Notamacropus eugenii: one gene and its partner. The protein of the gene in region 1 purifies or fractionates together with the protein of each later gene. This does not show direct contact. Links are inferred from orthologs where the notes say so. Each region holds a gene or a part of one and is shown on either strand. Other genes may lie near its edges.

Evidence for each region. Proteins that work in one complex are often made in the same cells at the same time.
Region 2: the proteins of ACVR1 (region 1) and TGFBRAP1 purify together in Homo sapiens (co-immunoprecipitation; 3 studies listed by BioGRID and IntAct, counting the BioPlex papers as one, with this or other methods). This does not show direct contact. The link is inferred for Notamacropus eugenii from reciprocal best matches to the Homo sapiens genes ACVR1 and TGFBRAP1.

The regions. Positions count from the first base shown.
Region 1 is NC_092876.1:216,757,545-216,764,467, reverse strand, and holds the start of ACVR1 (activin receptor type-1), read left to right. Parts: upstream 1-3,916; 5' UTR 3,917-3,931; coding exon 3,932-3,939; intron 3,940-6,923. UniProt on the Homo sapiens protein: Bone morphogenetic protein (BMP) type I receptor that is involved in a wide variety of biological processes, including bone, heart, cartilage, nervous, and reproductive system development and regulation.
Region 2 is NC_092877.1:200,324,912-200,331,881, forward strand, and holds the start of TGFBRAP1 (transforming growth factor-beta receptor-associated protein 1), read right to left. Parts: upstream 3,020-6,970; 5' UTR 2,880-3,019; intron 1-2,879. UniProt on the Homo sapiens protein: Plays a role in the TGF-beta/activin signaling pathway. It associates with inactive heteromeric TGF-beta and activin receptor complexes, mainly through the type II receptor, and is released upon activation of signaling.

The DNA.
Region 1 (6,923 bases):
AAAAAAGAAATTTACATGATAACTTTAAAAGGAATTGCAAGCTGTACATATGATTTGCAGTTTCATGTACAATCATTTTGAAAAATTATACTGTTATGAAAATGCTTGCTTTATTCCATAAATTAAAAACAAAATAAATAAAAATTGTTTTTTTTAATGTATATACTTACTAGGTGTTAGAGAGACAAGAGATTAGGAAAGAAGAGATGTCCTGTAGCCTTTCTTAGGTAGGGAACAATTGTTCCTAGGTGCTGGAGAAACAGAAATAAAAAGTGGAAAACATTTTTAAAATTTCATTTATTTATTTATTTATTTGTGTTTTTGGAGGGAGGAAGGCAAGGCAGTTAAGTGACTTGCCCAAGGTCACACAGCTAGTAAGTGTCAAGTGTCTTGAGACTGGATTTGAACTCAGGTCCTCCTGACTCCAGGGTCGATGCTCTGTGGTGGCACTGTGCCACCTTGCTCCTCCAAAACATTTCTTTTTTTAAGTGAAAAAAATTATTCTTCAATTTGCACTTAGTTTATCACTTTTCTCTCTGAAACAGGTTTTTCATCACAAGTCCTTTGGAATAGTCTTGAATCATTGTATTCTTTCATCATTCTAATATTGCTGTTATTGTGTACAATAATCTCCTGATTTTGCTCATTTCACTCTGCATCAGTTCTTAAAGGTTTTCTCAAGTTTTTCTGAAACCATCTCCTTCATTATTTTTTAGAACACAGTAGTATTCCATCACAATCGTATACCACAACTTGCTTAGCCATTCTCCAATTAGTGGCATCTTCTAAGTTTCCAATTCTTTGCCACCACAAAAAGAACAGCTATAAATATTTTGTACATATAGGTCCTGTGAAAGACATTTCTACTGAGGAATACAACATGTAAACAGTAAGAAAAAGATAAATTAAGGAAAAATAGAGATTTTTTTTTTAATGCTAGCGATAATAGGGAATCTCTAAACTTTTGAACAAGAATGCTGCTCAGAGATGAAGATCCAGGTCTTAGAGTATATCAGTGGTTTTGTGGTAGAAGATGGTCCAGCAAAAGAGAAAGCGGAGAAAATGGACAAATAAGAGAAACCAGGAGAGACCAGGAGAAAGTGGAGGCAAAGAGTGTAATTTTTTTTTCTGAAAGGGAAGTGATTTAGGAAGATAAGCCCCCACCCACCACCCCCATTTGTCAGAAACTGGAACAGAGGAGATGAGGATGGTGAATGATAATACAAAAGAGATTTTAAGGTGTATAATAAGGATTTCACATTAGATGGTCCCAACTTTTTCACTTAAGTAAAGGTTATATCCTTCGAGATAAAGATTGGAGGGGAAGGTATATTAGGCTCCCTCATTTGTAAGACGGAGGGTTGTTAGAGTGAATGAACAGCTCAAGCTTTTATTGAATATCTATTACACTATAATACAAAGACAAAAAAGTCAAACAACCCTCTGGTCTCAAGGGGCATCTGTTTTACTGACTGTTCTGGGTTCATAAGACTCAACAAGCTAACCGAAAGAGAGTATCTAATCTGATACCTTTACTGTTTATACAAGGTATTCCAAAAAGTCTTAATGCAGTACTGAGCTTTTAATAGCTTTAAATGGCACTAAACTCTTGAAACGGACGTTAGTTAAGTGGCTTACCCACAGTTAAACAACTGATGTGCATCCTATGGTGAGTGGAGTGCTGGACTTCGAATTGGGAAGACCTGTGTTCATGTCCCGCCTTTCATTTCTTATGTTTTTAATCCCTCTGATCCTTAGTTATCATATGATAATGTCACAGGGTAAAATCTTACAATCCATAAATGCCAGTACTTGTCATAGTTACTGTTTTTATATTTGCTGTTAAGTATATGATTTGAAATTTAAACTCAAGTCTTTGATCCCAAATAATAGGACTTATTTATATAGGACCTCCAAATTGTTCTTCCTACTACATCAGGGATTCTTTACCTTTTTATATGTCATAGACACCTTTGGCAGTTCAATGAAGTGTATGGACCTGTTCTCAGAGTAATATTTTTAATTACACTGAATAAAGTGCATAGGATTGATTACAAAAGAAATTGATGAGATTGAATAAAATTATCTACCTATTTTTTTTTAAAGTTTATGGACCTTATTTCTAAAGTTCTGTAATAAATAATGAATGGGGATCTCAGGAAACAAACCAAAAATCTAATGCTTTGTTCATTAATTGAGGGTGGTGCTACAGTTTGTTTTGAAAATTCTGAGTTTTATGCTTGGGGACACCAGGAGATAGGTTAGACTTTTAAGTCCACTGCTGACCTTCTGGCCTTTCTCTATCCCTGGATTGCGCACGTTAGAAGTACTTTCTATCCCTGAAGCCTCTTCCTCCCATTAGCAACTTCCCCACAGAACATCCATTTTGAGAACTATCCCCAGATCACCCTGGTCTTCAATTTCTCCAGGCTACACTCCAGCTGGCTCTTTAGATTTTCTCTACAATGCCCCCTAAGTCATCTGGTTGTTGTTGCTGCTGCTTGGTCATTTCAGTTGTGTCTGACTTTTCATGACTGCATTTGGGGTTTTCTTGGCAAAGATATTAAAATGGTTTACCATTTCCTTCTCTGGCTCATTTTATAGATGAAGAACTAAAGCAAGCAGGGTTGAGTGACTTGTCCAGGATCACACAGCTAGTAAATGTCTGAGGCTGGATTTGAACTCAGGAAAACAAATCTTCCTGACTTCAGGCCAGGCACTCTATTCACTGTACAGCCTAGCTGCCCTTGGTACCCTCCTGGTACCTTTTTATTTTTCCCACCCCATCTCAGTTTTCTTTATGTATTGTCTTCTTCCATTAGAGAGTAAAGTTCCCGAGGTCTGGGACTGGCTTTCTGCTTGTGTCTTCCCAGCCTTAGCACCATGCCTGGCATATAGAAAGCCCTTAATAAATGCTTGTTAACTTGATATGATGTTGGACTTTTTAAGTGCTTTCCTACCCATGTGGAGGACTCTATAGCTTTGACTTTTTAACATACTGCAAAAGCTTTTTTACAGCACACTTTGAATAATAGTCATGAAGGACACCATCCTTAGCACACCCAGGCTGCCCTTCCTTGGTGTCCTTCATTCTCATTTGTACGGAACAGCTGTCTTGGATCTTGAGAAATTCTCTGCTATGGAATCTTCCCAGTACCTTTTTGAGTGAGGGAGGATGGTGTCCACCAGGGGCACAGGGCCAGGGCTTTTACTGATATGCCTGAGAGTTGTATTATAAGGTGCCTGTAATTCTAGGTGGTTCCAGGATGGGACATGAATTTCATTGTGTCTCATTGCATCTCCTTATGTTAAAAATGTGCAGCTACACCAACATTGACGTTCGTTTTGTTTATTCCTGAAAACATGGCATTTTGTTTTGCTTTTGGTCATTCAGCCTCATTTGGGGTGATTGTCAGCTGGGAGGTTGGCAGGAGGGGGAGAAGAGAAAGCTGCATTTTGGCAACCCTTCAAGAGTCGAGCAGCTTCCTGCAGCCAGGACCATAAACTGTATAATTTGTCCATGGAGGCCTATGCATTATAGAAATGAAAATTCCTTCTCTGACAGCATTCACTGCTTAGCACGCAGCAATTTGGCTGTCAGAAACAGCTGGCCCTGCAGGGTGGGACAATAGAAAGGCAAGACTGAGAGAGAAGGAAGTGCTTACTCAAATCTCCCACTGTGAGAGGATCAGGTTACTGAGTCCATCCTTACAACAGACAGCAGACTGCACGGGGCTCTAAGACACACAGCTTCAAGTCTGAGCAGGAGACTATGGTTCAGACATTTTAGTGGTGTTTTGGGATTTTTTTCTTTTCCTGAATGGAACAACAAAAATATTAAAAAAACAAACCTCCTTCATGGGTACTCCAAATGTGGCTTTCTCTTTGCATTAAGATATTTTGAGAGTCTTCTGCTTGGAGATAAGCATTAATGGGAAAGTAAGTCCTTTGAGCTCTTGCGTGTGTCTAATTCATTGGGGCAGTGGAAGGGTATGTGAGGGACGGGGAAAGTATTTCTTGATATATTTCATGCTTGGTCTAGAACTTTTTTGTTCTGTTTAGGAACAGTTTTTAATTGAAAGTGATTGACACAAATATGAGGGAAGACCGAAGCAAGAGGCTGGCCGAGGGCTCCTTCTGGGTGCGTTTTTGCTGCTTGCATGGGTGCACACTGTCTAACTGGCATTTATTTCTCTTGGAGGGAGAGAGAGGTGCCGCTGTCTTGAACTTGCTTCTCTCTCTGTGGGTCTGCAGCATGTCTGGCTTTGTGTTTTCCCCTATCGATTCCATGACTCACTGAGTGTGATCTAAGCAAAAAGCTTGCTTAAATGACAGAGGAGACAGCTGTCTGTTACAGGAGGACATATTTTCTGGGTTTAATGGCGCCAGGTTTTTCCTAGTAATGTACAGAGCTGTAAAGTTTCTACAGAAGGTTTTTTCTTCACTAAATGTTTTCCCCCAGTTGTGTTCCAAATTCTTAATAGTCTAAATATTAACTTCACAATGTGATGTGTCCTTCAGGAAAGCAATATGCTTCAGGTTTTTTTTTCTTTTTGTAGATTACTTTTCTAAGCTGATTTTTTTTTCATGTAAAAAGTATTTGAGAGAACAGAAGCCCAGCATTGCTGTGGAAAAGATATTTTCTTCTCCAGCTGAGTAGGGCATTGGAAATATACTAAAGTACATTTATTTAGGCAAGTTAGAGGGTTGGAATCTGGTAGTTGTTCAATTTATACTGTACTCTAGGTTTTTTTTTTTTTGAATTTTCCTTCTCCCCTTTAAATCTGTTTCCCCTTTATATGATAGAGGCTGAAGTTCCAGATGTTGTTTTGGTTTAAAGAGTGTGTGGAAAAAAAATAAGCTTTCTTAATGATAATAACAGAGTCAGACTGGCTGGTTCTGTACTGACAGGAAAATGGAGAGATAAAAACTCCATTAATGGTGCATGCACTGCCTAAGTAGCCAATAAAACAATGCTGTCTTCACTGGAAACTAGTCCCAGATTGGCAATGATCAGTGCCAACTGCAAAAGACAACAGCTGCAGAGCTTGACAAAAGTATTAGAGTAAAAAAACGATATATTAAATGATTTTTGAGAGGGGGAGGGCGGTTCTTTTGTTCTCATCTTCCTTCTCCTTCCCACCCTCTTTTCTTAAGTCCTGCTTAATACTTGCTCTTTTGGAGAGTTAACCATGTTTGATTGAAACTTAGCTATCAAAAGAAGAAAGTGATTCTCTGAATGAGTCAAGTTCAAGTATATTTGCTGAGGTTTGGATAGAGGGCTGTTTTTGACTAGGGACCTAAGTGCGAGTGTATCTTAAATTTTTAAAAGTGGCCTCACTTTTCACAAAAGTTTTATTTTATTCTTTAAGTTGGTAGAAGAAAACATTTTTTCCCTAGCTTTACTTCCTAGAAATATCTTCCATTTTCTGAGTGATACATTCTTTTTACTTCTACACCACAGGTATTATTTTATTATTTTCTAAAATGTAGCTCATTTCATAAGACATTATTATGTATTGTACAAAGTTTGTATTCATTCATTCAGTAAATACTTTTTGAAAATCTGTATGTGACACTGAAGTGTATACAAAATCCTTGGCTGAGGAGGAGGTTAAAATTTGGCAAGTAGACTACAACTTAATAATGTGCACTTTTTCTTTTCATTTTTAAATCAAATTTAATTTTTTCAAACAATGAAAATCTGCCTTATCTCTTCTCTCCCATTGAGAAAAAAGAAAAAGAAAACTGTTGTTACAAACATGTATAATCAAATAAAACAAATTCCCACACTGATCACATCCAAAAAACAAAAAAATCTTCAATCTGTACAATGAGTCTATCACCTCTTTTTCAGGATTTGGGTAGCTTGACGATCACAGGTCTTCTGGAATTAAATAGTCGTTGTGTAGAACTGTATTCTAAATCTTTCAAAGTTGTTTATTGTTTAAGTATTGTTGAATAATATGCTTTTCTATAGAATTTGGAACTTTGAAGTTTCTAAAAAGACTATTTGCATAAAATTAACTATAAAACAAAGTAGTAAGTCCTGAACTGCATAAATGTTGAAAGCCACAGTGAATTGTATAGGCATTCAGAAGAGTTCAGATACTCTCCTTTATAAGTATTTTGCCATCTGAGGTGTATCAGTGGATGTATGCAGGATGTGCAGATTAGAAACTTTAAATTACATGAGTGGACAAGATATAACATATAGGTTAATGTTATGTAGATATATTTGGGATGGAGATGTAGAAGCCTGTTGTTAATGTTTATCCTTTGCTATTGAGAGGTCCAATGATATCACAAGGGTGATGTCTTGACTTCAGTAAGAATTGAAGTGAGGCAGAATTACACAAAGTCTTCAGCCTCACCTCACCCTCTGGTTGAGCAGTCCAGTGGCAAGACAAAAGTTTGGATGACTAGTGATAGCTTAGGGTGCAGCGGATGACCTTGAGTTTTCTAAATTAAGGTCTTGCCCAGCCTTCAGTTTGTCTGACAGTGTGTGTGTGTGTGTGTGTGTGTGTGTGTGTGTGTGTGTGTGTGTGTGTGTGTGTGTGTAGGAAAGCTGCATGAAGGAGGTACAATTTGGGATGTTTAAATTGTAACTGATGAATCATCTGGTGTTATGGGGAGGAAGAAATACCCTAGATTTTGGGGGGCTCCTCTGGCTAGAGAAGATAGTAGTGATCTAAGTGGAAGAAGCATTGAGCAAGACAGAAAGAATGAACTGTGATATGAGTGACTTGGAAGTGAAGAATTTTGAAGGTGAATGAAACTTTTGGGTTTGATCCGTAAAACTAGACTAGAGTTTTAGGGAGGGGTTAATTTAGAGCTGGAAATAAGGACCATAGTACTCATCTAACCCTATTTCCTTTATTTTATAGATGAAGGAAAGGAAACCCAGAGAGGGTAAGTAGCCT
Region 2 (6,970 bases), on another chromosome or scaffold:
GTGTACCCTTTTTCAAGCTACAATTTTAACAGTTAATGAATTAGCTACTTTAGATTATGCTATTAAGGAAGTATCTCAGTTTCATGGTACTTTTATATTTTGAAACCAGGGTTTAGCTTTTTCTTATGTAAGACAGAGTAAATTTTGTATTAATATTTAACATTAGAAAACCTTAGCCAATATAAATTATTCTACATTCATGCAGTTCTGCAGGGTTTGTTTGATTTGGGTTGGGTTTTTTTTGAGTGTTTCTTTTGTCTGTTTGTTTTAATAAAGAAAAACTGGTCAGGCTTGCCACAGAGGAAATGGGTTGAAAGTATGGGCCAAATTACTGAATATCTTTCAAACACCTGGCTCCAGAAAATAATTACTTTAATGTATTTCTAACGAGAACTGGATTCTAACCAAGATGAAAAGGCTTAAACTCATTAAGTAAAATACCTAGAGTTTCCTTTAAGAGAATCTTAAATTCTTAATACAAGCAGAAGGGGGTCTATTAAAAAACCTTTTAAATATATTTGGACTTCAGTTCCCTTCAATAAAGGGGCCAGTAGAACATTGGAATTTGATGTTGTAGCATTTTAAAAGAGTAATAGTTTCTGTTCATTTTCAAAGAATTCAGTGACTAAAGCTACCCAACAATGAAACAAATCACTTTAAAGGTATTGAGTATCCTCTGACTGGACATATTTAAGCAGAGACTGAACCACTATTAAGAAGGATTTGAGCCTTGAATAAGAGGTCAAGTTAGATGATCTCTAATAATAACAATACCTTAAAGTTGAACAAAAACTATTGCAGAAATAAATACATGACTGAAAATGACACAGAAGAATGAATGAAAGCTAAGTATGTTGTTATATTTTCTATTCCAACTTACCACTGCCTAAACAGAAATCAGGCTAGAGAATCCACAAGTGAACTTACTCTGAAACACCCACCCATCTTTTATTATCAAAGACAGCACTCAAAGCACACAGAATCGAAGAAGTTTTGTGCTGGAAGGAAATTGAGAGGTCTTTCAATTTCCTAACTTCAAACATAATGAAAAGTGGCCCAAAAGATCAACTGAATTTTTCCAAGGTCAATGTAGTTAGCCTAAGAATTAGTGTTAAAACTCAAGTCTCTGATTTCCTAAACCAATGCTCTTTCCACACCACTGCAGCTGCTAAAAAAAAAAAAATGCTGAGCCAAAAAAGACTGGCTTCACTGAGTGTTTTGGAGAGAAGAGGCAAAGGAAGTAGACTCAGCAAGCAGAAAAGGAAGGGGAAAGGACAAAAACCGTCCAAATGTTTTCTCCCCAGGTTTTGTAGTAAAGCTCAGATGGTTTTGGTCTAACTATGAGAGAGGAAGCACATAAATTACAAATGAGTCGTGGGCCTCAACATCAGGCTTCATTTGGGCTGAGAGCCAGTTCTCAGACATCAATTCTGACCTACAAATGAAACATCTCATATTATAGTGCTATTATACTCACACACATGATTTATCAATGCATTAATCTGACAAATACAATAATGCCAACATGCTGACCTCCCTGAAAACAAAGAGATGAAGCTTCTCACAGTGCAGCAATTTCAACAGTGATTAACCCCTTACTCAGTTAAATTTTCAACCTACAAAACTAAATGCCTTCTTCTAACATTAATGATGACTCCATGGAATCCTAGTGGGCAGCAGGTAATCCACAGGCCCTGGTAGCTTTGTGAACGAATGCTGCTAAAGGAGATTCCATACAGTGCTGGCTACCGTGTTGACAAGTACAGATGCCTGAAAACTAAGCCTTCTGTCCATATTCATGGAAAGCTTCCTGTACTCAAGAGGAGGTAGTATCAACTACAAGTGAAAACTAACTCACCACTTGCACCTCAACTGGCAACATGGGAAAAATCTCTCAGGATTCTGGCTTTGAGCTCTTCAATCCTCAAAAACCATCCATTTTAATTCAACACTGGACTTGCTATCTTTTCATCCATGAGGTTCTCTTGCCCATTGGGACAAAGATAAACCTTAAATATTCTAAAACTTCAAGATGCCTAGGAACAACTTATGGTTCATATACACTTGCTTCCTTGCTCCCAAACAGCCTTAGGGATAGAGGAAAGAGACCCTGATAGGGTCTCTTCATTCTCTTTCCTCGTCTTGAAAGTATTCAACCTCCACTTCAAATCAAGCAATGAGTCTCCAGGATCTTTCCCCTATCCCCCAAACACACAGATATCCAGGGTCCCATCCTTCTAACTGCCCCCCCACACACAGAGTCCCATCCTCCTAACCACACCCCCAACCTAACACACACATACACAAAAAAACATGCAGAGGACCATCCCCCTCCACCACACACACACACAGAGTCCCAACCTCCTGAACCACATACAGCCCCTAACCTAACACACGCGCACATACATACGCCGTACCACCCTAAATCACACACACAGCCCCACACATACACACCACAAGATCACACCCTGAATCCCACCCTCCTAAATTTCACTTACACACACATCCGCATACACACGCACACACACCAGGATACCCCGCACACATACACGCATACACACACGCACGCGCACACACACACACCAGGACACCACATACGCACGCACGCACGATACCCCCCCCACCCCAGGATACCCCCGCACACATACACGCATACACACACACACACACACACACACACACACACACACACACACACACACACACACACACACACACACACACACACACACACACACACACACACACACACACACACCCGCACGCACGCACGCCAGAGCCCCGGCCGCCCTCCACCCGCCCGGCCGCCCCGCCTCAGCGCTGTGACAGCCCGGCCCGCCCGCAGCCCCGCGGCCTCCCCGCCGCAGCCCCCTCCTCACCCGCGCTCGCCCAGCCCGGGCCTCCTCGGTCCGCTCCGCCCCGAGCCGCCTTCCGCCGCCGCTCCTGCGCCCAGCCTCCCGCTCACGGCTGCGGCTGCGGCGGCCGCCGAGGCCCGGGACTGCTGGGCCCCGCACACGCGCCCTCCGCCCGGCTCGGCCCCGCCCGGCCCGGCTCCGGGTTGGCTCCGCAGCTCCCCCAGGGGCTCCGTCCGGGCCCCGCCGCCGCTTCCCGTCACGTGGGGGCCCGCCCCGGAGCGCGGCAGGACGGCGGCCTCCGCCTCTGATTGACAGGGGCCGAGAGGGGCGCCCGATCATCCGGCCGGCGCGCTCGACCCCCTCCCCGCGGCTGAGGATGAGGGTCATGGAGGGGGCTGGGGGAGGGCCTGAGCTGTCCTTCGGGTGGGAGTGGGCGTGAGGGCGCCGGTACCTGGGCGTGCTCTCTGTGCCTGGAGCTGCGAGCGCCGGAGCGCAGCCGGGCAGGTGTCCTCGGAGGCCCCGCCTCCCCCAGCTCCCTCTCTCCCCCCTCTCCCTCTCCCTCCCTCCCTCCCTCTCTCCCCCCTCTCCCTCTCCCTCCCTCCCTCCCTTCCTCCCTCCTTCCCTCCCTCTCTCTCTCCCTCTCTCTCCCTCCCTCTCCGTCTCTCTCTCTCTCTCTCTCTCTCTCTCTCTCTCTCTCTCTCTTTCCTTCTCCCTCCCTCTCCTCTTTCTCCCTCCCTCTCCTCTCTCTCTCTCCCTCTCCCTCTCTGTTTCTCCCTTCCCCCCCTCCCTCTCTCCCTCTCTCTCCCTGTCTCTCTCTGTCTCTCTCTCCCCCCTGTCTCCCCACTTCCCTTTTATTCTTCCTTTATCTGTCCTTCCTATCCTCTTTGCTCTCTCTTCTCCTTCCTCCCCCTTGCTTCCCACTCCCATCCACTTTAACCCAGGGCAAAAAGGAGTGTGGGGGAAATGAAGTGAGGGAAGGTTCCTAATACTTGGAAGGACCTTCAAGGTTCTGTGGAAAGTTGAGTTCTAGGAAGGTACACCTTAACCCCAAATCTTTTTCTTCCCAGTGGCTCAAGATGCCGTGAGAGATTTATTCCCCTGGGTCAAGCATTGCCCTTTCTGGTTAGTCTTCTAGACATAAGACGTAAAGCTGCTCTTGACTGCAAGTCATTTCTTTGGCCCTCTCCCTAGTCATCCCCATCTCTACCTCCCCACAAATGCTGAGTTTCTCTGTAGGGGAGGGAAGGCAAATTCATTGCTTTCTGGAGAGTTTAACTCAGAGTAACAAAGATAGATGCCTGAAAGAAATTCAGTATGGTCAGAAGAGTGTACTCTTAATTTTTAGAAATTTTGCCATATTTCTTTCATTACCTTCATTTCCAAATATATGAGCCCCCCACCTCTATCCAGGAAGCCATCCCTTATAACAATAAAAAAGAGGGAAAACTTAGTTTAATAAGACCTTCATTTCCAAATATTCTTTCCCCACCATCACCCAAGGAGCCATCCCTTATAACAATAAAAAAGCCAGAGGGAAAAACAGTTTGGTAAAACTAACCAACACTTTAGTGGAATCTGACAGTATATGTAGCGTTCCATACCCTTAGTGTCCCATTTCTCTTTCCAAGCCAACCTTGGTCATCATAATCAGGAGAGATACTCCTGGCAAAAGCAACGTCCACTCTAGGAGGCAAAACACTTCTCTGTTGGTAAATGACTTTATCTGTCCTCTAACTCTTATCAGTAAAGCCTAAGGGCCAAGTGAGCCTACTTTGTTCCATCTTCCCCTGCCTACCAACTAATCAATAAATGCCATGCCCTTCTCATACTCCTAAAACCCCACATTCCTTGAGGAATTCTTCCCTAAATGGAAGCAAAATGACATTTCACACATATACCCACCCCCAAAGTGAGGCAGAGCTGTGCAAAATCATCAACCTCCCTCTCCCCCCAGAAGTCATTGGAGTCCAGTGGTAAGATATAGGTCCATGACTACGGATGTAGTAGGGGACTAATTTAGAACAGCTGTATAGCTATCCTGCCTGTATAGGTACATACAAATGCTTTCATGATGTATTTTCATTTATCTGCTATTAGAAGGCAGAAGCAGTGCCAGTGTTACTGCTTTATATAGTCTACAATGCTGTTCCTGCAATGCTCAGGTCTTCTTTATCTGAAAAAACAAAACAAACAACTCTAACACTGACTCTGCCACTTCCTTAAGTTATTATCATATATGTCCCTATCCATTCACTGCTAAATTTCCAAAGAGAGTAGTCTATACTTGGCTGTCTCCACTTTTTTTTTTTTTTGCCACCCACTCATTTCTCAGTCCCTAGAAACCTGGCTTCCTTTTCTATCTCCTTCACTGAAACTGACAACATATGTCAACCAAATTTATAAATCAGTCCATTTATTAATATATATAGGGTTAGAAATGAGTCCTGAATAAAACATCCAGACATCCATTAGGAGATGGGCTCCACTAGACTTGTTTGGGATTTTTCAGAGCAAGAAAGAGATGTAAACTAAGAGACTGATGATTAAACAAATTTCAGGCTATTAAATAAATGCTACCATATAAACTAATTTAATAATTAGTTGTCAGGTCTACATGCTGTTTCAAAACCCACCTTTGATATTGAATAGCTAACTGCTGAACAATAATCAATTCAATAAGCATTTTATTAATCAACAAGCAATTACTAAGTTCCTACTATGTGCCAGGTTTGGTTAGGGAACCAAAGATAACATTAAAAAGTCCTTGTGGCCAAGTTGTTTCTATGGACAGATAAGTAAATATACACACACTTAGGTAAATAAAAAAACCTATGCAAAATACATGCAAAGTAGTTTCTAAGGGGGGCACTAACTACCACAATTCAATTAAAAAATTCAATTTTATTTTATTTTCAGTTCCAAATTCTTTTCCTTTCTCCTTCTCTTTTACATATTGATTAGGTAAGAAAAGCAAAATCCATTATAAATGTACATAGTCATACAAAACATATTCTCACGTTAGTCATGTCCAAAAAAATTTCTTTTTTGAAAGAAAAGAAAATATGCTTCCATTTGTACTTTGAACCTATCAGTTCTCTATCTGGTGGTGGACAGCATGTTTCATCATGTGTGTTTTGGAACTGTGGTTAGTCATTGTGTTAATCAGAATTCCTAAATATTTCAAAGTTCTTTTTACAATACTGTTATTATATAAATTATTCTCCTAGTTCTGCCCACTTCACTTTGCATCAGTTCATATGTGTCTTCCCAGGTTTTTCTAAAACCTTCCTCTTCATTATCTCTTACAGCACACTAGTATTCCATCATATTCATATATCATAATTTGTTCAGCCAGTTCCTGGCTGAACACCTGATGAACACCTACTCAGTTTCCAATTCTGCGCCTCCACAAAAAGAGTTGCTATAAGTATTTTTGTCCTTTAGGGATCCTTCTCCTCTGTGGGATCTCTTTGGGATATAAATACTGCTAGATCAAAGGGTATAAGCAATTTAATAGCATTTTAGGCATAGGTTCAAATTGCTTTCCAGAATTTTTGAATTAGTTTACAACTCTACCAACAGTGTATTAGTGTACCTAGTATACATCCTCTTTAGCATCTTTTGTTATACTTTTTTGTCAACCTAGCCAATCTGATAGGCATGAGGTGGTACCTCAGAGTTGTTTTCATTTGCATTTCTCTAATTATTAGTGAGAAAATTTTTTCATGTGACATTCCTTTGAATATATTCCTTTCACATATTCCTTTGAAAATTGCCTATTTATATACCTAAAGGGGCCAAGGTCTCCCACTGCATCCTAGGCCATGTCCAGTCATCCTGATGAATATCATCTGGTCACTAGATCCAGATGGCTCAGGAGGAAAAAGCGAGACTGGTGACCTTGCACACCCTCCCTCACTCAAAACAAAGTCAAGTGCAAGTCATGTCATCATTTCTCTGGTGGCATGGTCTTCTTCGGCAACAAAGGATGAACACAACAACAATTTGTATCCCTTGACCATTTGTCAACTGGGGAGTGCCTCTTAGTCTTATAAACATAATTAATTTCCCTATGTATCTCAGAAATGAGACTTTTATCAGACACTTCCTACAAA